2 linked regions of the Elephas maximus indicus genome follow. The protein of the gene in region 1 purifies or fractionates together with the protein of each later gene. This does not show direct contact. Links are inferred from orthologs where the notes say so. Each region holds a gene or a part of one and is shown on either strand. Other genes may lie near its edges.

The links. The genes of interacting proteins can lie anywhere in the genome.
Region 2: the proteins of USP18 (region 1) and STAT2 purify together in Homo sapiens (affinity purification with western blotting; 6 studies listed by BioGRID and IntAct, with this or other methods). This does not show direct contact. The link is inferred for Elephas maximus indicus from reciprocal best matches to the Homo sapiens genes USP18 and STAT2.

The regions. Positions count from the first base shown.
Region 1 is NC_064822.1:54,743,230-54,753,311, reverse strand, and holds the start of USP18 (ubl carboxyl-terminal hydrolase 18), read left to right. Parts: upstream 1-6,152; 5' UTR 6,153-6,366; intron 6,367-9,867; exon of another isoform or gene 9,868-10,012; intron 10,013-10,082. UniProt on the Homo sapiens protein: Interferon-induced ISG15-specific protease that plays a crucial role for maintaining a proper balance of ISG15-conjugated proteins in cells. Regulates protein ISGylation by efficiently cleaving ISG15 conjugates linked via isopeptide bonds.
Region 2 is NC_064822.1:116,324,919-116,335,511, reverse strand, and holds the start of STAT2 (signal transducer and activator of transcription 2), read left to right. Parts: upstream 1-6,699; 5' UTR 6,700-6,765; coding exon of another isoform or gene 6,766-6,902; intron 6,903-7,061; coding exon of another isoform or gene 7,062-7,175; intron 7,176-10,593. Other genes in the region: APOF (apolipoprotein F), read left to right, coding at 4,817-5,636, 6,464-6,625, 6,766-6,902, 7,062-7,175. UniProt on the Homo sapiens protein: Signal transducer and activator of transcription that mediates signaling by type I interferons (IFN-alpha and IFN-beta).

The sequences.
Region 1 (10,082 bases):
CATAAAAAAAAAAAAATCCTTCTTTACAGCAACAAATTGCAGAGGACAGAGAATGACTGAGAATGTAGTCACGTCCTGAAGAATGACTGAGAAGGTAGTTACATCTTGAAGCCAACGCCAGGAAAATGAAACTTAGAGTTCTTTTTGCTGCTTCAACTTATCAAAACTCTCTCCTTCTTAGGAGAATGTATTTACCCAAAAGAATACTGTGATGGGGATTCAATTTACAGACCTTAAAAGCCAATTTATTGTTTATTTTTGGCAGTATACAAATATATAGTAGAATTAAAAAAAAACTTATCTTGACAAAATGCAGAGGGGAAAATAAGCAGGAGAGACTTGTGGAGAAGGAATGAAAGACAAATCACATGAAGCCATATGTGTCTATAGAGAAATGAACTTTGTAAATAAGCACAAATATTTTATTAATAATTCTTTTTGTTCTTGCCATTACCCCATGCAATAAAACGTGCCCTTTCCCCTGTACAAAAATTAGCATCAGTTTCTATAAACTGTTCCTCACTTTGGAACAGCTTTTTCCTGAAGTAGCTTTTCACTGTGAAGGAGAACTAGATTATTCCATAAAGTCAGCCAGACATCTTTGTGACTGAGTTTTTAGGCAGAATTTTCAAGTGAGGCAGTCAAGTGTAGCTTCTTGCTCCACACTTCAAATTTAAAAAAGAAAAAAAGAGTAAGAAATTCAGCCAGTGAGAGTTCGAGTGACATTGAAACTATCCTAAATAAGCAGAAATATTGTGCAAGCTGCAGAAAATACTTCAGGGCCCAAGCTTTGTTTTGAAACAAAGTTTATGCAGTTTCAATTTAAACTCTTTGATGCATGGTGTTGAAAACCTTTTTAACCAATGTGTTCAACTAGCATACTTTTGTAAATGATCTCCAGATAAAAAGCATCCATAATATTTTTTTTTACATTAAAGAAATGTAAAACAATATCAAACTTGCAGAAAAGCTGCAAGTACAGCACAAAAACTTTTTTCTTGAATGATTTGAGAGTAAGTTTCCAACATGTCATTACCCCCAGTAGTTTTCGTGTTAAATTACTACCATCTAAAAAAAAAAAAAAAAAAAAAATTTTTTTTTAACCTTCAGACCCCATTTAAGTTTCACTAACTGTCCTAATATTATCGTTTAGAGCAAAGAATACAGTTCAGAATCTACTACTGTTGCATTTAGTTATCATCTCTTTGATTTCCATCAGTCTGGAACAATTCCTTACCCTTTCTTTGACTTTCATGACCTGGGCACTTTTGAACATTACAGACCAGCCGACAGTTCCTCAGTCTGAGTTGGTCAGATTCATGACTGGACTCAGGTTATGCTTCTTCGATAGGAATATCACAGAAGCGATGCTATGTTCTTTTCATTGTGTCCTCTCAGGAAGGGTTTCAGTTTGTATTATCACTGATGATGGCCCCTTTGATTACGTGATTAAGGCAGCGTCTGCCACTGTGAAGGTGCTCTTCTCCCCTTTGTAATTAACATGGATTTTGCAGGAAAGTACTTTGAAACTGCAAATATTCTATTCCTCCTCAAACTTTCAATTTATTCAATTATTCGTATTGTTAGGGACTATGTTTTCCCAGGAATCCCTGGAGGTACAGTGGTTAAGAGCGACGTCTCCTAACCAGAATATAGGCAGTTCAAACCCACCAGGCCCTCCTTGGAAACTCTGTGGGGCAATCGGTCCTACAGAGTTGCTATGAGTTGGAATTAACTTGATGGCAATGGGTTTTTTTTTTTTTAAATATGTTTTCCTGATTTACTTAATGAATTATAATCTCCTGATTTTAATATCATTATTTATTTTGATGCTTAAATTGTTCTGGATTTGGCCACTGGGAGCCCTTTCAAGCTGGCTTCTGGGTATTTTTGATGCACCCTTATCACGCTTTGAGCATTTCCTTCTTTTCTGATAGAACAAGATGTTTTAGGCTCATCTTGTACTTTCCCTTTCCTAACCTTGGAAACAGCCATCTCTCTTAGCAACTCTGGCTCCTTTTACTGTTGTGCTGTTAGTTGCCACTGACTCCAAGTCGTGGCAACCCCATATGAGCAGAATAGAACTGCCACATAGGGTTTTCAAGGCTGCGATCTTCCAGAAGCAGGTCACCAGGTCTGTCTCCTGAGGTGCCTCTTGGTGGGTTCAAACCATCAACTTTTTGGTCAGTAGTTTGTCCTATAGGGTCGCTATGAGTCCGTCGGAATTGACTCGACGGCACTGGGGTTGGGTTAGTTTGTACCAGCCCGGAATTCCTTTCCTTTTACTAGAGAATGGTTAATTAGAAGGCAAGATCCGGGTATTGGATGTGCTCACTGCTATTGGGATGTCATTGTTCCCAAGACCTCTCAATGAACAGACCTAGGGAATATATGTATGTATATACATGCTTACCTCTGTATTTCTTTATATGCCTACTGAAAATCACGGATCCACACGAATAGCTCCAATTTTCAGCCCAACACAGGGCTCATTTTCCCTGTCTATATTTGTAAATCCCTCTCTGACAGTGATAAAACCCATTAAAAAAAAACCTGTTGCTGTTGAGTCGATTCTGACTCATAGTGACCCTACAGGACAGAGTAGAACTGCCCCATAGGGTTTCCAAGGAGCGCCTGGTGGATTCGAACTGCTGACCTTCTGGTTAGCAGCTGTAGCTCTCAACCGCTATGCCACGAGGGTTTCCCAACAGTGATAAACCTAGCTCCAATTATCCTTAATATATTTGCCTATTTGATCAATCCCTCTGTACATGACCAGTCTCTCACCTCTACTCCCCCCACCTCCCCTCCACGGATGTCCTCCTCACCCTGCCTATGCACCAACACCAAACACTATACCACCTGCCACATAGAAGCCCTCCTCAAACCACTTTGGCTCTGACACCCCAGGCCATTCTGCCCCTTACATGGACACTCTCCTCATCTCATTTAGGTTCTGATAGCCAATGCTAGGCAGCCCTCCTACTTGGATGCCCTTCTCACCCTGCTTGGGCTCTGACACCGTACTCAGACTTCTGTCCCCTAACCCTCATTTGGATGTTCTCCTTACCTTGCTCAGGCTCCAATACCCTGTGCTGGGCTGCCTTCCCGTGTGGGCACCTTTTTAAGCCCTCATAAAGCTTTGTCTCTGACTACTCACCATTACCACCACATGTGGACACCCTCTGTAACCTGTTTGGGGCCCAAAAACCCTGCTCAGGCAGCCCTTCCATGTAGATGCACTTCTTACCTTGCTTGCTCGCTAACACTCTGCTCTGGGCCACTGGGGAACCCTACGGTGTGGACATTTATTTTGCTTGACCCATTAAATAAATGGCTTTAGCACTGAATGGTTCTGTAAGGTAAGCAAAGGTAAGGGGAAGAGGAAGCGCCCCATAATAATTGTAATGGACCCTCACATTATGTAGTCCAGTCTAAAGCCCAAGGTTGACCCTTGCCCATTCTGAACTGGGGCTGCAATGCCAATTAATTTTCTCCACGGCACTACCAAGATTTAAATAGAATGAATTGATTCATTAGAAATAGCCATATGCTAATAATCACTGAAGAACATCATGTTTGGTAAAGTAGAGGGGCAGAGAATGAAAGAGAAACCCTCAGTGGGATGGATCGATACATTAGCTGCAACAGTGAGCTCAAACATACCAAGGATCATTAACATGGCTCAGGACCAGGCAATGCTTAGTTCTGTTACATATAACGTCACCATTTGGAGCGGCTGGACGGCAACTAACAACAACAGGAATCACTGAGAACAAATACAACTTGTTCCTTTGAATTTTACTGACTTGAAGTATTTAGCAAACTGCATAAAATTTTGCAACATCCTCTTCCCATGCCCCCCACCTGAGTTTTAGAGGTTCCTGCTGGTACAGTGATTATGCACTTGGCTGCTATCTGAAAGTTTGGCAGTTCAAACCCACGAGCTGCTCCATTGGAGAAAGATGTGGCAGTTGGCTTCTGTAAAGATTTACAGCCTTGGAAACCCTATGGGGCAGTTCTACTCTGTCCTATAGGATCGCTAGGAGTCGGAATCGATTCAAGGGCAATGGGTTTGTTTTTTGGTTTATCAAGAAGGCTTTTAACAATTACATTAAATTGGTTAAAGAAATTCATCCGTCAGCAAATATACTGAGGACTATATAGAAATACAGTCTAGAAATACCACAAGTGGGTGGCTTTAACAAACAGAAATTTGTTTTTTCACAATTTTGGAGGCTAAAAGTCCAAATTCAGAGTGCCGGTCCTAGAAGAAGGCTTTCTCTCTATAGGAGAAGGCCCTCGGCTCTACTGAGCTTCTGCTCAATCTTTCTACGTGGCTTGGCATCTCCCTTCCCCCATCTGTTTCTCTTGCTTCCTTGTTTAAGCTCTTTTATATCTCAAAAGAGATTGACTCAAGACACACCTACACTAATCCTGTCTCATTAACAGAACAAAGACAACCCATTCCCAAATGGGATTATAACTACAGCCATAGAAATTAGGATTCACAACACGTTTGGGGACACAGTTCAATCCATAACAGTGACCTACTCTATGTACACTGTTGTGTACTGTGTAAATACCATGCTGTGTACTCCCAACCAGCATTCCAGAGAGGATACGCCGTGCTATGCCCTGTACATTATACTGCCTTCTCTTCAGACGGCAAGGAAGGGGGAGCTTTAGTGTATGTGACAGGGTATACATGCACTCACACAGATATATGTGTATAGCATGTATGTATGTGCTTGTGCTCATGATTTTAACACACATGCAGCCACACACATTATGGACACATTTGCCTATCTCTATGTCATTATATTTTGAACAGATTATGTACTTTTCTGCAGACTGTGCTGACACCTTAGTGAGGTTCTGGCAGCTTTGGGTTTCTGAGGCCTCTCATCCCTGCAGCCATCCTCTCACCCTCACATTTGGCCTGTGCTGTGTGTATGGATTTCAGAAAGGATAAGCACTTGTGAGGAGATGTCACTTCACTTTCCTGCACGAATTTACCAATGTTCAGTAGCCGGAATCAGAGCCCCTCTTGAGCTAGACAGAGGCCCTGGCAGATAATCCTGCCACCCCCACCCCAAGAGTCTACATGCCTGAACTACATCTCTACAGAGGTAACAAGCCTTTCATGTGTGCGTGCCACAGATTCTTTAGCCTTATATGTATCTGCATGCCCATCTGGAGAGCTCCTAATGACACAGATCTCTCATTTTCTATTAAGGAGTGAAATCAGAGGTGTAAACAGTGGTTCGGGAGTCAAATCCCTTTTGGAATCTTGGCCCACCGCTTACAATCTTGCATGACCTTGGGCAAGTCATTTAACCTCTTTAAAATTTAATATTCTTTCTTATAAAATTGGAATAAAAATAGGGCCTACATCAAGAGGCTGTTGTATAGATTAAGGTAGGTTTAGAGTTTCGTAGAGAGCCTGGCATTTCGCAGGTCACCAGTAAATGTTAGGCGTTCTCATTATAAGTTACATGTTCACCTCTGCATTTATCTCTATATACCTATTGAGAATCATGAATCCACAAGAATAGCTCCAACTTTCGATCCAAAATCCACTTTTTTTCCCCCTTTTGCTCCACCACTCACCATGTGGACCCACCTCTGTGGGCTCCTGCAGAGCAAGAGAGAAACAGGATAAGGACTTTACACATATGTGGCCTATTTCACTGATTCTACAAGCCACCGGTTTTAAGATACACAATTTAAGAAATTATATTATAGCATTAAGAAAGAAAGATACGCTGCCATTTATCCTATGAAATGCCAAACGATTGTAAGATTCATCCCAATTGCATAGATCTTACGATGGCAGAAGAGGCATCTATTCTTGGAATTGTCGACAAACGGCAAGTATTCAAAACATAGTACACATCTTTACACGCTAAAACACACAACACAGATGTACCAGATACGCACTGATGACTCGTCTCCGGTGTTCACCTGCGACGCCACTCTCGCCCCTCACTTTCGGCCAGAATCCGGGCCCGCGCGGCCAGCCTCGGGCTGAGTTTCACTTTCCATTCTGTGGGAAACGAAAGCCGAGGGGCTGCGGCCCACGGGGCGGCGCGCGGGCGGAGGCAGCACGGGCGGCGCGACGGGGCCGAGCAGACGAAAGGCAGACTCGGCCAGGAGCGCGGCAGACGAAAGGCAGACTCGGCCAGGGGCGGACGGCGCCGCCCAGCCCGTTCCGGACAAGGGCTCCGCGCTCCTCGCCCTGCTCGGTCCTGCTCTGCCAGAGCTCGTAGGGGACCGGGCAAAGAGAAACCTTCTCTGCGTTCCAAGAATCGAGCTTAACAGCGGAGGCTTGGCGTTTTCGTGGCACTTGAGGCAAGTTTGATGGTAATTTTGGAAGCTTTCTTTCCAGAAAAGACATCCCTTGACACTCAGTTCAGATGCCATCTGGGTAATTAATGAATGTATCTGGGCTCTTTTGTAATAACGGTGTGTGTTTATTACATGGACATATTGAGCCTATGTATTTTTTCCCCCAGACTAATATATTTATTTGGGCTTCTTGCGTGACTTTGTGTTTTACTTAAAAAAAAAAAAAAGTTTTGCGTGCTCATAAAAAATTCAAGCAACGTAGACAAAATATAAAGGAGAAACAAAACTTTAAATCTTCAACTCTGTCATGTATGTGTACTTTTCTAGGTATTCTCCTGTGCCCAAGTCTTTGAAAATCAAAGTGAGGTCATTCTGTAACATTGCTTTGTAATTTGTTTTTTCTACTTAACAGTATATTATGGGTATCTTTTCATGGCAGGACATATAGAAAGGCCAACCTCATTTTATTTTAAACTTCTGTATAATATGGGAAGTACATAATCTGTTAAATGGTTGGTAGATTTTTAGGTTGTTTCCAGTTTTTACTGGTATAAGTGATGCAACAGTGAATATCGTTTTATGTACCCAAAACCAAAAACCAAACCCATTGCCGTCAAGTCCATTACGACTCATAGCAGTCCTATAGGACAGAGTAGAATTGCCCTATAGGATTTCCAAGGAGCATCTGGTGGATTTGAACTGCCGACATTTTGGTTAGCGGCTGTAGCACTTAACCACCACGCCACCAGGGCTTCCACGTTTTATGTATACATCCACGCAAATGTACAAATCTATTTGTGGGCAATTCCTAGAAGTGGAATTACTGAGTTCATAGGCATAGTATTGAGAAATTTCAACTATTCTGTCAAATTGTGCAAATCAGAGTAATTTGTCCTTAATTCCTCTGCTCACTCCAATTTTTTTTTTCCTGGAAAAGAGCCAAATTTAGACCTTGAGACAAACATAAGACTCCATTCTATGTCCTCTAAAAATCTAGGGTTCAAAGTGTTTGACAATTAAAACAGAGGCTTTAACTTCTTAACAGCGTTGAGGTAGCTATACTTTGAAATCCTGCAAGAAAATGAGGCAGATATTTGAAAACATTTTTAAAAATTCATGTGATGTTTTCTTTTTGCTATTGTAGTATACAGAGTGGAGCAGAGGATTTAATCGGCCATCTAGGTAATGCAAACATCCTCCCTCCTCACTTTTGCTTCCATTTCTGAGGAAAGTAGTTATTAATGATTGAATTATTTGAATAATTTATCACATTTTTGCACTTTAATTTTAATGTGTCATCTGGACTTGTAAATCAAAAAACCCATTCCTGTCGAGTCAATTCCAACTCATAGTGACCCTGTAGGACAGAGTAGAATTGCCTCATATGGTTTCCAAGGCTGTAAATCTTTATGGAAGCAGACTGCTACATCTTTTTTCTGTGGAGTGGCTGGTGGATTTGAACCGCGACCTTTTGGTTAGGAGTGACGAGCTTTAACCACTGCACCACCAGGGCCCCTTACCTGGACCTATGAGTAATTAAAAAACCCAACCCAACCCGCTGCCGTGGAGTCGATTCTGACTCATAGCGACCCTATAGGGCAGAGTAGAACTGCCGCATAGAGTTTCCAAGGAGCGCCTGGCAGATTCAAATTGCTGACCTTTCGGTTAGGAGCTGTAGCACTTAACCACTACACCACCAGGGTTTCCTCATTACATTTTTTTAATATGATATTTTTAGTAGTTCTGGGGTAGCTTTTTAAATTTTTCTTCTTTTCCTGCCTAATTTTCCAGTCACTATGGGATGGTTTTTGTGTGTGTGTGTGTGTGTGTGTGGGGTGGAGACTTTTGGGGGGAAGACAAATGAGAAAGGTTTAACTGGGGCACCTCACCCATGAGTGGAAATCCCAAATGCACCCAAGAATCACAGTCCCATTCCATGGAGGGTCCTTCAGAAACGCTCCAAGCCAGCCTTCCCATCCAGTCGATCCGGTCCGCCTTTGATTCTTTGAACAGGTGAAATAATCACAGAGACACAAATAGTATTTATTTTCAGGTTACCAAATTAAGAATTGTCCTTCAACTTTGATCACTTTGATTTTAGTTTGAGATAATACTTTAACTCCTCAGACAGTAGTGAATCCAGTTTCTAAATTCCAGAGCCAACGTGGTCTTTTTTTAAAAAGCACACCTAATTGTGTGGTATCCCTGTTCAGGAACCTTCAGTGGTCTCCCGCTGCTTTTAGCACAGCATCAGAAATCTGTACTCTGGCCGAAAGCCCTGCAAGGTCTGGTCCTCACCTAACTCTCCAACCCAACCCAGGCTGAAAAACAACCAGATTCTGTATGTTTTCTAATCATTCCAAAGTAACTGGATATGGAATAATGGTCGGAATGAATAATGATAATAGCAAATACAAAATAAAACCAGATGTTGGCATCAGATATTTAACTTTTTTCCCAGAATTTCTTCTCAACTATTTGAGTAGGACACAATTTAAGGAAGCCGTCAGAGGCAATACTAAAATTGAAACAAGGATTCCTTATACAATAAATGAAATATTACAAATGAAAAGCTCAACTCCTTTACTTAAAATGTCGCCATAAAATGCTAATGTAGCAAGGGAAACAGGCAGGCAGACCTCTGATGGTGAGTGAGAACTGGGCACATTTCTGATAAGCTAAAGTGTTCATAACCACTGAGCTCAAAATGGATAGGAGATTAACACAGGGTCTGCATCTCTATCTTGTTTTGAATGGGAAACCCTGGTGGCACAGTGGTTAGGTGATATGGCTGCTAACCAAAAGGTCAGTAATTCAAATCCACCAGCTGCTCCTTGGAAACCCTCTGGGGCAGTTCTACTCTGTCCTATAAAAAAAAAAAATTTTTTTTTTTTTTGGAATCGACTTGATGGCATTGTGTTTGGTTTTGGGTTTGGTTATCAAAGAATAAGGAGTCCCTGGGTAGTACAGTGCACTTGGCTGCTAACTGAAAAGTTGCAGGTTCAAGTCTACCCAGAAGTGCCTTGAAAGAGTGGCCTGGTGATCTACTTCAGAATAATCAGCCATTGAAAACTATGGGGCACAGTTCTGCTCTGACACACATAGGGTTGCCATGAGTCAAAACTGACTTGATGACAACTGGTGTCAAAGAAATTAGGGGAAAAAAAGGCAAACTTTTTGGTGTTTTTTTTTTTTCCACTGTTAGAAAATACCTTGCACAGTCTTGCACTTTTACACAGTGATGGTCTTCAAAGGGGAAAATGTTTAATGTAAACACTCTTAAAGACAGTAAGTCCTAATCTCTTCCAAATGGGCTGTAGCTTCGGGATTCCCTATTATTTTGGGTTTCATCTGGAATATTCTAATCTGTGTGCCCAGCCTATTACCATTACTCAAATGTGAACACATGACTAAGAATCAGGTCAGAGTTTGTTTTTTACGTGATGGGGGTTGGATTTGGAAGACAGCGAGACTGCTGCAAGCATGTTCCTGGCATGTTAATTTTGTTCTTCTTAGGGCATTTAAGGTCGGAGCTGGTTTATCCTGCAGAGAGTCTAGTTGTGAGTGAAGAGTCCAGTTAGAGACTGGGACCACCTCAGTTTTCCTGCATCACGTCCCCTGGCCTTTTGCTGTGAAGAGTGATTCTGTAGCTACGATGGTGGTGAGCCTGCCTCAGCTGCTTCCGTCGTTTACATCTCCCCCTGGTTTTAAGGGTAGAAAATTCAGGAAGG
Region 2 (10,593 bases), about 62 Mb from region 1:
TGGGAAAATGCCACACAGTCCAGCAGGTCTTTCGCAAATATAATAATCCACACATTGACAATCAAATGTGACGTAAGGTTTTTCTTTTTAATTGTACTTTTAGTTGAAGGTTTACAGAACAAACTAGTTTCTCATTAAACAGTTAGTACACATATTGTTTAATGACATTAGTAAACAACCCCGCGACATGTCAACACTCTCCCTTCTCAACCTTGGGTTCCCTATTACCAGTTTTTCTGTCCTCTCCTGCTTTCTAGTCCTTGCCCCTGGGCTGTTGTCTCATTTTCTTTTATGGGCTTGTCTAATCTTTGGCTGAAGGGTGAACCTCGGGAGTGACTTCATTACTGAGCTAAAAGTGGGCTATACTCTCGGGTTTCTCCAGTCTCTGTTAGGCCAGTAAGTCTGGTCTTAATGTGACATAAGTTTTAATAGTCCTTTGTAGAAATTCCAGGTGGCTGGAATGCGATGATCCTCTGATCAGGGTGGGGAGGATAAAGCTTGGTGGTGCATTTAAATAGAATCAGTTAGAGTCTTAGGGGCTATTTGACCTCTTGTACAATTTCTAGACCACTGCTGTCCAACAGAACTTTTAGGGATGATGGAAATGTTCTATATTTGTGCTGTTCAATATGGTAGACACTAGCCCCATGTGTCTACTGAGGACTTGAAATGTGGATAGTGTGACTGAGGACTTGGTTTTTTTTCTTTGCTTTCTTTTTTAATTTTATTTTCAGTGTTATATATTGTAAATGACTTTTTTTGGTCTACGGGTCTATGAACTTAAAACATGTATAGACCCATGTAACCATCCCTATAATCAGAATATAGAACAGAATAACTGAGTTTTTATGTTATTTAATTTTAATTAATATAATAAATAGCCACATGTGGCTAATGACTACCATATTGGACAGCACAGATCTAGACTTCTTTTAGAGCAGAGTTCCTCCTCCCTATATTAAGAGCACTTACTTTATCCCCAAGCAGATTTCCGCCATTGGAAGAGATCTAGGGACAGTAGGGGTTATGATGTTATAAATACTTAAGCCAACACTTTTCTTGAAATACCCTCAGCAAAAACAAATGAGTAAATAAATTACTTAAATTAAAATAAGTAAATGAGGGGGTGGTTGAAAAATAAACAACAGAAAGTTTGATTTTGAAGCTGGGTAAAGGGTATATGAGGTGTCATTGTATTAAAAAAAAAAAAACCTAGACTCCTTATTTTTGTGTGTACTTGAAAAATGCCATAATGAAAACAAAGTTTGAATGCAATATGGTATCCTGCATTGAATCCTGGAACAGGAAAATGACATTAGTGGAAAAACCAGTGAAATCCTAATAAAGTATATGGTTAATAATGGGAGTTCCTAGGTGGTGAAAATGGTTACCACACTTGATTGCTAACTGAAAGACTGGAGGTTCAAGTCTACCCAGAGGCACCTTGGAAGAAAGTCCTGGTGATCTGCTTCTAAAAAAAATCCACCGTTGAAAACCCTATGGAGCACAGTCCTGCTCTGACACACATGAGGTCACCATGAGTTAGAGTCAACTCAGTGGCAGCTGGTTAATTTCAGGTAGTGCTGGACTCCTTTGCACCTAGTTTTTGCTTCTTTCAGTTTTGGCCCTGTGCCCCTAGAGACCTACTCTTCTTCTTTCTTCTTCTTTTGCTCTTAGTTGTTAGGAGCCCCTCCTGAGACGTGAATGAAATGGAGGGATCCTGGACCTCTTTCATTGGCCTGTTGTTCCCTTTGGCTGTCTGACAGAGGCAGATCACAGCACCAGAGGAAACTTTATGACACAATAATATGTGGGAATTTGTATTTAGAAGCCACCAGATCCTTCTTCCCCTAAATTTTGCACTGGAGTTACCCTTAAAAAAAAAACAGATAAAGCTCAATTCCTAGAGTTTTGGTGTAGATTTAGACAGTTACATCATTAGGGTTGGTGTCACCCAGTGTGGTAAGTCATGGTGTCATCCCCTACCATGGACCTCCTCCTGTATCAGACCATTCAGAATCCTTAGTAATGTTTATTATCAATTTTAATCATGGAATAATATGTGATTAATATAGTTGTAAATTGCTTAAATGTAATATTTCTTTAATTGGTGGGATCCGAAACACAGGTATAAAGAAACTAAAGCAAAAAAGATATTTGGATTGTCTTGTTCCTCTGGCTTGTGTTTTCCTCAGAACAATGAAGATCTCCCACAGCCTCTAAGTGCTAGGGTGAGGTGTGTTTAAGGTAATCAGAGTTTCCAAGGGCTGAGATACTTCTTCACTGTTACTCATCTGGTGTTTTTTAGCCCTTGCATTATCCTCAGAGAAAGCACCCTAGGGCTTTCCCCACCTTCCAACCTGAGCACTGCTTCTTTCCAGCAGGCTATTCCCGCTGTTCCACTATGGTGCAAGCTTTGCCACTCCTTTGCTGTGTCTTGCTGTCTCCAGTGGCTGCCTGTCCAAAAAATGTCCAGAATGGGGACCTGATTTTCCAGCCATCTTACACAGAGCTGGGGCCTCTGCCAAACATGCTCTCAGGCCAGGTCCTTCTCACAGATCAGTTGCTGGAATCTCTTCCTCAAAGCCCTCTCTCCTCCCTTCCAGCCCCTTTGCCTGAGTACCTGTCCAGTGTAGCTCTAAGGGTGGCTCTGGAGGAGATTGGCTGCCCAGCTGAGGCCCACCTTCTGCAGTTTTAGCAATTTCAGATGGGAGGAAAGGACACCACTGTAACCCTCATCTGTGAGATTCAAAAGCTCAATGAGGAAGAAAAGATTGACAATGCTGAGCTCGTTCTGACAGATTTGGGGGAACTCCCAGGGGAGCCTGGGTAAACCCAGCACTCAGCTGTCCACTCTGCGGAGTATTTCACAGTGGAGAGTACACCTACTGGGGTAGTTGGTCTCTCATTTACTTCAGATGGTAATTGAGTTTGCTGAAGAGCTATCTCTCATGTTGCTGGTGCCATAGTTCAAATCTCCCTCTGTCAACACCACCAAGAACTTAAAGTATGAGTATTGGGAGAATTTCGAAGAATTAGGCAAAAGGCTGAAGAAGCCCCCAAATTAAGAACCTCTTATTGTCATTGTCTATGGATGATTAGATACAAAATGTTTATTTTTTTTGTAAAAACATTCCACAGCTATACTGAAGGCCTTTATAGGAGTATAGAGTCAGGAGTTTGTTCAGGTATACCTCAGATACGTAATGCCACCTAGGTAATGAGTCTCCTTCCTCAGGGTTGTGTTCAGGAAGGGGACACAGCAGATAGTTAGAAATGATAGAGACAAAGTAGGACAGATATACCTCTTCATTTCATTCCAGTGCTAAAAGACACATGTAACTGGTGTCTCCTCCTAGTAGGTCCCAGCCCCTATTTCTTATCCCATCTTCTCTTTCTTTTTCTTGCTTTCAGTCATCAAATATTGTGTATTTGATAAGTTCTAGGCATGACAGGCAGAGACCCTGGGTGGTACGAACATTAAGGAGCTAGGCTACTAACCGAAAGTTTGGAGGTGGAAGTCCACCCAGAGGCACCTCTGAAGAAGGGCCTGGCGATCTACTTCCAAAAAACCAGCCATTGAAAACCCTATGGGGCACAGTTCTTTTCTGGCACACATGGGGTTTCCACTAGTCAGAGTTGACTCAACAGTAATTGCTTTTTAGGCATGAGAAATATTTTAACTTTTTCTCATTCATCTACTCTGCACTGTCTAAATCCCCCCAGCTAAATGCTGTAGCTTATTTAATTTTTAAGCTGAAAAGAGAATCATAGACATCTAATCTCTCCTGACTCTGGGTCTCCCTGGCTTCTGTTATGAACTAAAGTGGGCATGTGGCAGGGATATGTAGGAAATGCCACAGGACAGGGGTTTCAGTATTGAAGATGAGTATGTGACAAGGGGACAAGGTTTGTGCAACCAGTACAAATGGGCAAATATTTGTAGAGATTACATCCCTAACTGGTCATAGGGGAAAGCAAATATCTCCCCTTCTCACAGGATACACAACTGGGCAGAACAGGACCGAGAAGCAACCAAACCAAACCTACCAGGGCAGTGTCACTTCTCAATGACTGGACCGTGTGGTAATCTGGGGCCCCTATAAGTGGGTGGAGGTCCCCGGGTGATGCAAATGATTAGCACTTGGCTACTACCCTAAAGTTTGGTGGTTCAAACCCACCCAGTGGCACTGTGAAAGAAAGGCCTGGCAATCTGTTTCCATAAAGATTACAGTCAAGAAAACTCTATGGAATCAGGTGGACACTTGAGACTGTGTTGGCATCTCCTGTCTGGAGGGGAGATAGGAGGGTAGAGAGGGTTAGAAACTGGCAAAATTGTCACGAAAGGACAGACTGGAAGGGCTGACTCATTGTGGGAGAGTAAGTGGGAGTATGGAGTAAGGTGTATGTAAGCTTATATGTGACAGACTGACTTGATTTGTAAACGTTCACTTAAAGCTCAATAAAAATTATAAAAAAAAAAAAAAGAAAACTCTATGGAGCAGAGTTCTACTGTGTAACACATGGAGTCGCCATGAGTCGGAATTGACTAGATGGCAAGGGGTTTGACTTTGGGTTTACAAGTGGGTGAAAGTAAAGCAGAGGAAGCCCCTGGTGACCTGAAAATGGGGGAGGCCAGATGGGAACAATTGGGTCCCATTTCCCATTTCCTAGGTCTTTATCTAAAAGGAAGAGAAGCTTGGAGGTGATAGATGAGAGGTCCCCCAAGTCCTAGGTTCCTTTCAGATCACAGCACTTAGGGAAATGTTTTCGGTGTTTTGGGCTTCTTCTCACTCCAGCGTGCTCTGTTCCAGGCATGGGTGGCCTCAGGCTCGTCATGATGCCAGTTGCACTGCTTCTTTGCTACCTCCCGCTGCATGTGGTAGATGCCATTTCATATGGAACCCAGACAAAGGCCTCGATGCGCCTTACCTCCTTGGGATCCCAGCCACCCTCCTCAGACTTCTTGTTCTGCCAGCTACTGCTCCCGAAGTCCCTGCCTGGCTTCACCCACATGGCCCCTCTGCCCAGGTTCCTGATAGGCCTGGCACTGAGGAATGCCCTCGAGGAGGCTGGCTGCCAGACTTATGCCTGGACTGTGGAGCGTCAGCTCTACCGCCTGGGAGGTGTGAAAGCCACACAGCTCCTCAACCGCCATCTCCAAGGGCTCCAGAAAGGCGGAAGCATACAGGGTGAAGCATCAGTGGAGGCCCTAATCTCTGCTGTGCAGCTACTGGCCAGGGAGCAGCCAGGCCCAGACAGAGCCCGGCGCTTCCTCTCCACCGAGGACTGTGAGCAGGAGCAGGAGCAGAGTGTGCAAAGTGTACTCCGCTGGTTGCCGATGGTGGGAACCTACTACAACCTGGGTTCAGCTTTGTACTATGCTGCTCAGAACTGCTTGGAAAAGGCCAAGGAACGAGGCCAAGATGGAGCCATAGACCTGGGTTATGACCTTCTGGTGACCATGGCAGGGCTATCAGGGGGCCCAGCAGGACTGTTGATCAACTCTGCACTTAAGCCTGCAGTGAAGGTTGGGGTTGAGAGGTTGATCCAGTATTACTATGAGAAAGAGACAAACACCCCCCAACCAGAGACTAGAGAAAAGTTTAGTGGGCATCACAGATATGAGTGGTCTGGTGGGTGGACAACAACTATGGCCTCAGAGGTGTCAGAGGTAGTTAAGTTCAGTTTCCCATGGGAGGTGGGGCCCACTCAAGATCCATTACTTAGACGCTGAGGCTGGGAGTCTTGGGCTATAAGAAGGTTGTAGACACAGAAGAAAGGGGCCCTGGTGGGGCAATGATAACTAAAAGGTTGGCGGTTGTAACTCACCCAGTGGCTCGTGGGATCTGCTTTCCTAAAGATTACAGCCAAGAAAACCCTCTGGGGCAGTTCTACTCTATCACATGGGGGTCACTGTGAGTCAAGAATCAACTGGAAGGCACACAACAACAAACAGAAGGAATAAATCTAATATTCTGACAATTTCTATGTGTGTGATCAAATTCTAAATATCGGGTTCATTATTCAGGAGGAAGGCAGTGCTGTAAAATGTAGGAATCAAAAAGTTTGGAATTTGGAGTCTAAGGATTTGGCTTTGGATCCAGATTCCACATGTTTGTGCTTCTGTCATCACTGACAAGCAACGTCTTTTTCGAAGCTCAGTTTTTCAATCTCTAAAATGGAGATAATGATTCTCACCTCGATTGGTTGCCGTGGAAGTGAGAAGTGGTACAATGAATCTAAAGTGCTTAGCAAGGCACCCTCAGTAAAAGGGTAACCCGTTGCCATCAAGTCGATTCGGGCTGTCTCCTCGTGACTCTAGAGGACAGAGGGTTTGCAAAGAGTGGCGGTGGATTCAAACTGCCGACCTTTTGGCTGGCAGCCTGAACTCTTAACCACTGTGCCACCAGGACTCCAACCTCTAAACACCGAAATTCCGGTCCCACCTCTTTGTACCCAGCCCTTAAAGCCCCCAGGGTCCTGGGCCAGTCTCGCTTCCGCGGCCGGGACTCAGATTCTCGGAAATCAGCTGTTTCGGGCTATTCCATTAATTGGATTCCTTCCCTCCGCGGGTACGGGGCGGGGCTTACTCGAGCTTTCCCCCCAATCGCGGGAGCTGAAGGTGTGGTTTCGGTTCCCACAGAGGGGGCGGAGTTGTGGCGGCACCAATGAGCTCGCAGCCTAGGGGAGCCAAGGATGGGCTTGGTTGAGTGGCAGCTAGGGTCCTGGTGCCCGGCTGGGAATCGCGAGTTCCGGGTTCAGCCGCCCACCGAAGCCCGCTAAGCAGGGTTGGACCGAAGCTGACGACTGGGCGGGAGGTCCTGGTGCAGAGCTCGCTCTGGGGACGGGGGGCCTCGACAACAGCCACCGGTGGGAGCGGGGACTGCGACCCCAATCAGGTACCGGCTCTGAGAGGGCGGGAGGGGATGGGGGCACGGATTCCTCCCTGCGAAGGGAGAGAAGCCATGGGGGTTACACACTGGAGGGGGCAGCTTCTGTCCCGAGGTTGAAAGAGGAGCCGTCACTTGCTCTGCCCTGTATTTCCCGCTCTTGTCCAGCCTAGCTCCCAAACCCTAGTGCCCCCCTCCTGCAATTCTCCTGCAGCCTCCGAGGCCCAGAACCTGGCATTATTGCATAAGTTCACTGTCTCAGCCAACGCTTTTACCTTCTGATCTGCATTATTATTTTTTGTGTGCATCATTTTTGATTCTCACAAAAAAAAAGTACAAAAGTGCATACGGTTTATCCTTATTTGTTACGTAAAAAGTATAAGGCACAGAAAGGCGAAATGATTTGCCTAAGGCCACAAAGAAAATTCCGTTCCTTTTAGAAAAACTTATTGAGCATAAATATGTGCCTAAGAGAGTGAGAGATATTGGAGGAAAAGTAAAATGTTAACAGCCCTTCACCTCACAATGTTTGCGGTCCATATGGGGAGACCAGGTTTTCTTTCATAATTAGTTTACTGGCTGCCTTGCTCTTTTAATTTCAGCTGATTACTTCCTTGAGAACTGAAAACTCTTCATATTTTCTTTCTTAAAAGTAATGCAGGTACATAGTTTAAAAAGCCAAGCACTTGGTGAACATAACTGATGTCACCGAATTGTACACAAAAAGTTGTTAAAATGGCAATTTTTTTGTTATGTATATTTTACCACAGTCAAATTAATAAAAAAAAAAAAGTCAAGCACTGCTAAAAGGGTTAAAATGAAAAATAGGAGCCCCTGCTCAGTCCCTCCCCTTCCCTGTACCTATTTACAAGGTAGAATGGCAGCTGATTCATGCTGGTGGAGGAGAATCTCTCCCATCTCAAACATTTTTCCTTGCCTTGTAATAAAATCATATGACTTTTTAGATCACAGATGGGCTTGCTTTATTCTATTTTGTTAGGCTTAGGCTGCAACAAGAATAAGTTGTAGTTCACCAAAAAGACATCAGATGCAGTGGACAGGAAAAGGTGGGAAGAAAGATGTACGACCCAGCCTGCTTGGTGACAGAAAAAGCCAGTTTTTAGTGAAATTTCTGGGTTATTCACAAAGTTGATAATTCACGTTGAGAATCGGAGATTAACAGAGGTCGTAGAAGGTTTTTAGATTGAAAACATTATGCTGAGTGAAGTAAATCAGTCAGAAAAGGACAAATACTTATCCCACTTATTTGAAATAGCTAGAACAGGCTAATGTACAGAGACCAAGCATCTGTCAGTTTGTTGTTGTACTGTAGGGGCTTGTGTGTTGTTGTAATGCTGGAAGCTATGCCACTGGTATTCAAATACCATCAGGGTTGCCCATAGCATACAGGTTTCAGCTGAGCTTCCAGGCTTAAGACAGACTAGGAAGAAGGACTGGTTGTCTACTTCTGAAAAGAGTTAGCGAGTGAAAACCTTATAAATAGCAGCAGAACATTGTCTGATACAGTGCTGAAAGATGAGCCCCCAGGGTTGGAAAACAATCAAAAGACGACTGGAAAAGAGCCGCCTCCTCAAACTAGAGTCATCCTTAATGACATGAATGGAGTCAAGCTTTCTGGACCTTCATTTGCTGACTCAAAATGAGAAGAAACAGCTGCAAACATTCGTTAATAATCAGAACGTGGAATGTACAAAGTATGAATCTGGGAAAATTGGAAATTGTCAAAAATGGAATGGAATGTATAAACATTGATATCCTAGGCATTAGTGAGCTGAAATGGACTGGCATGCCCGTTTTGAGTTGGACAATCATATAGTCTACTATGCTGTGAATGGCGACTTTAAGAGGAATGGTGTTGCATTCATAGTCAAAAAGAACATTTCAAGACCTATGCTGAAGTACAGCACTATCAATGATAATATCCATATACCTACAAGGAAGATCAGTTAACACGACTAATATTCAAATTTATGCACCAGCCACCAAGGCCAAAGATGAAGAAATTGAAGATTTTTACCATCTTCTGCAGTCTGAAATTGATCGAACATGCAATCAGGATGCGTTGATAATTACTGGTGATTGAAAAGCAAAAGTTGGAAACAAAGAAGAAGGATTGGTAGTTGGAAAATAGGGCCTTGGTGGTAGAAACAACACACTGGAGATTGCATGATAGAATTTTGCAAGACCAATGACTTCTTCATTGCAAATACCTTCTTTCACCAACATAAATGGCGACTATACATGTGGACCTTGCTGGGTGGAATACACAGGGATCAAATTGAGTACATCTGTGGAATGAGACGATGGAAAAGCTCAATATCCTCAGTTAGAACAAGGCCAGGGTTGACTGCGGAACAGACCATCAATTGCTCCTATGCAAGTTCAAGTTGAAGCTGAAGAAAATTAGAACAAGTCCATAAGAGCCAAAGTATGACCTTGAGTATATCCCACCTAAATTTAGTGACCTTTCTAAGGATAGATTTGACATGTTGAACACTAATGATCAAAGACCAGACAATTTGTGGAATGACATCAAGGACATCATACATGAAGAAACCAAGAGGTCATTAAAAAGACAGGAAAGAAAGAAAAGACCAAAAAGGATGTCAGAAGAGATGCTGAAATTGGCTCCTGAGTGTCCAGTAGCTAAAACAAACAGAAGAAGTGATGAGGAGCTGAACAGGAGATTTCAAAGGGCATCTCGAGAAGACAAAGTATTATAATGACATGCGCAAAGACCCGAAGTTAGAAAACCAAAAGGGAAGAACATGCTCGGCGTTTCTCAAGTTGAAATAACTGAAGAAACAATTCAAGCCTTGAGTTGCAATATTGAAAGAGTCTATGGGGAAAATATTAAATAATGCAGGAAGCATCAAAAGAAGTTGGAAAGAATACACAGAGTCACTATACCAAAAAGAATTGGTTGACATTCAGCCATTTCAGGAGGTAGCATATGATCAGGAACTGATGGTACTGAAGGAAGAGGTCCCAGCTGTACTGAAGGTATTAGCGAAAAACAAATCTTCAGGAATTGACAAAATACCAATTGAGATGTTTCAACAAACGGATGCAGGGCTGGAAGTGCTCACTCATCTATGCCAAGAAATTTGGAAGACAGCTCCCTGGCCAACTAACTGGAAGAGATCCCTGTTTATGCCTATTCCAAAGAAAAGTGATCCAATGGAATGAGGAAATTATCAAACAATATCATTAATATCACACACAAGTAAAGATTTGCTGAAGATCATTCAAAAGTGGCTGCAGCAGTATATCGACAGGGAACTGCCAGAAAGTCAAGTTGGATTCAGAAGAGGGCGTGGAATGAGGGATATCATTGCTGATATCAGATGGATCATGGCTGAAAGCAGAGAAGACCAAAAATATGTTTACCTGCATTTTATTGACTCTGCAGAGGCATTTGACTATGTGGATCATAACAAATTATGGATAACACTGTGAAGAATGGGAATTCCAGAACACTTAATTATGCGCATGTGGAACCTGTACATAGATCAAGAGGCAGTCGTTTGGACAGAACAAGGGGATACTTGTGGTTTAAAGTCAGGAAAGGTGTACGTCAGGGTTGTATCATTTTACCATACTTATTCAATCTGTATGCTGAGCAAATAATGTGAGAAACTGGACTGTGTAATGAAGAACATGGCATTAGGATTGGAAG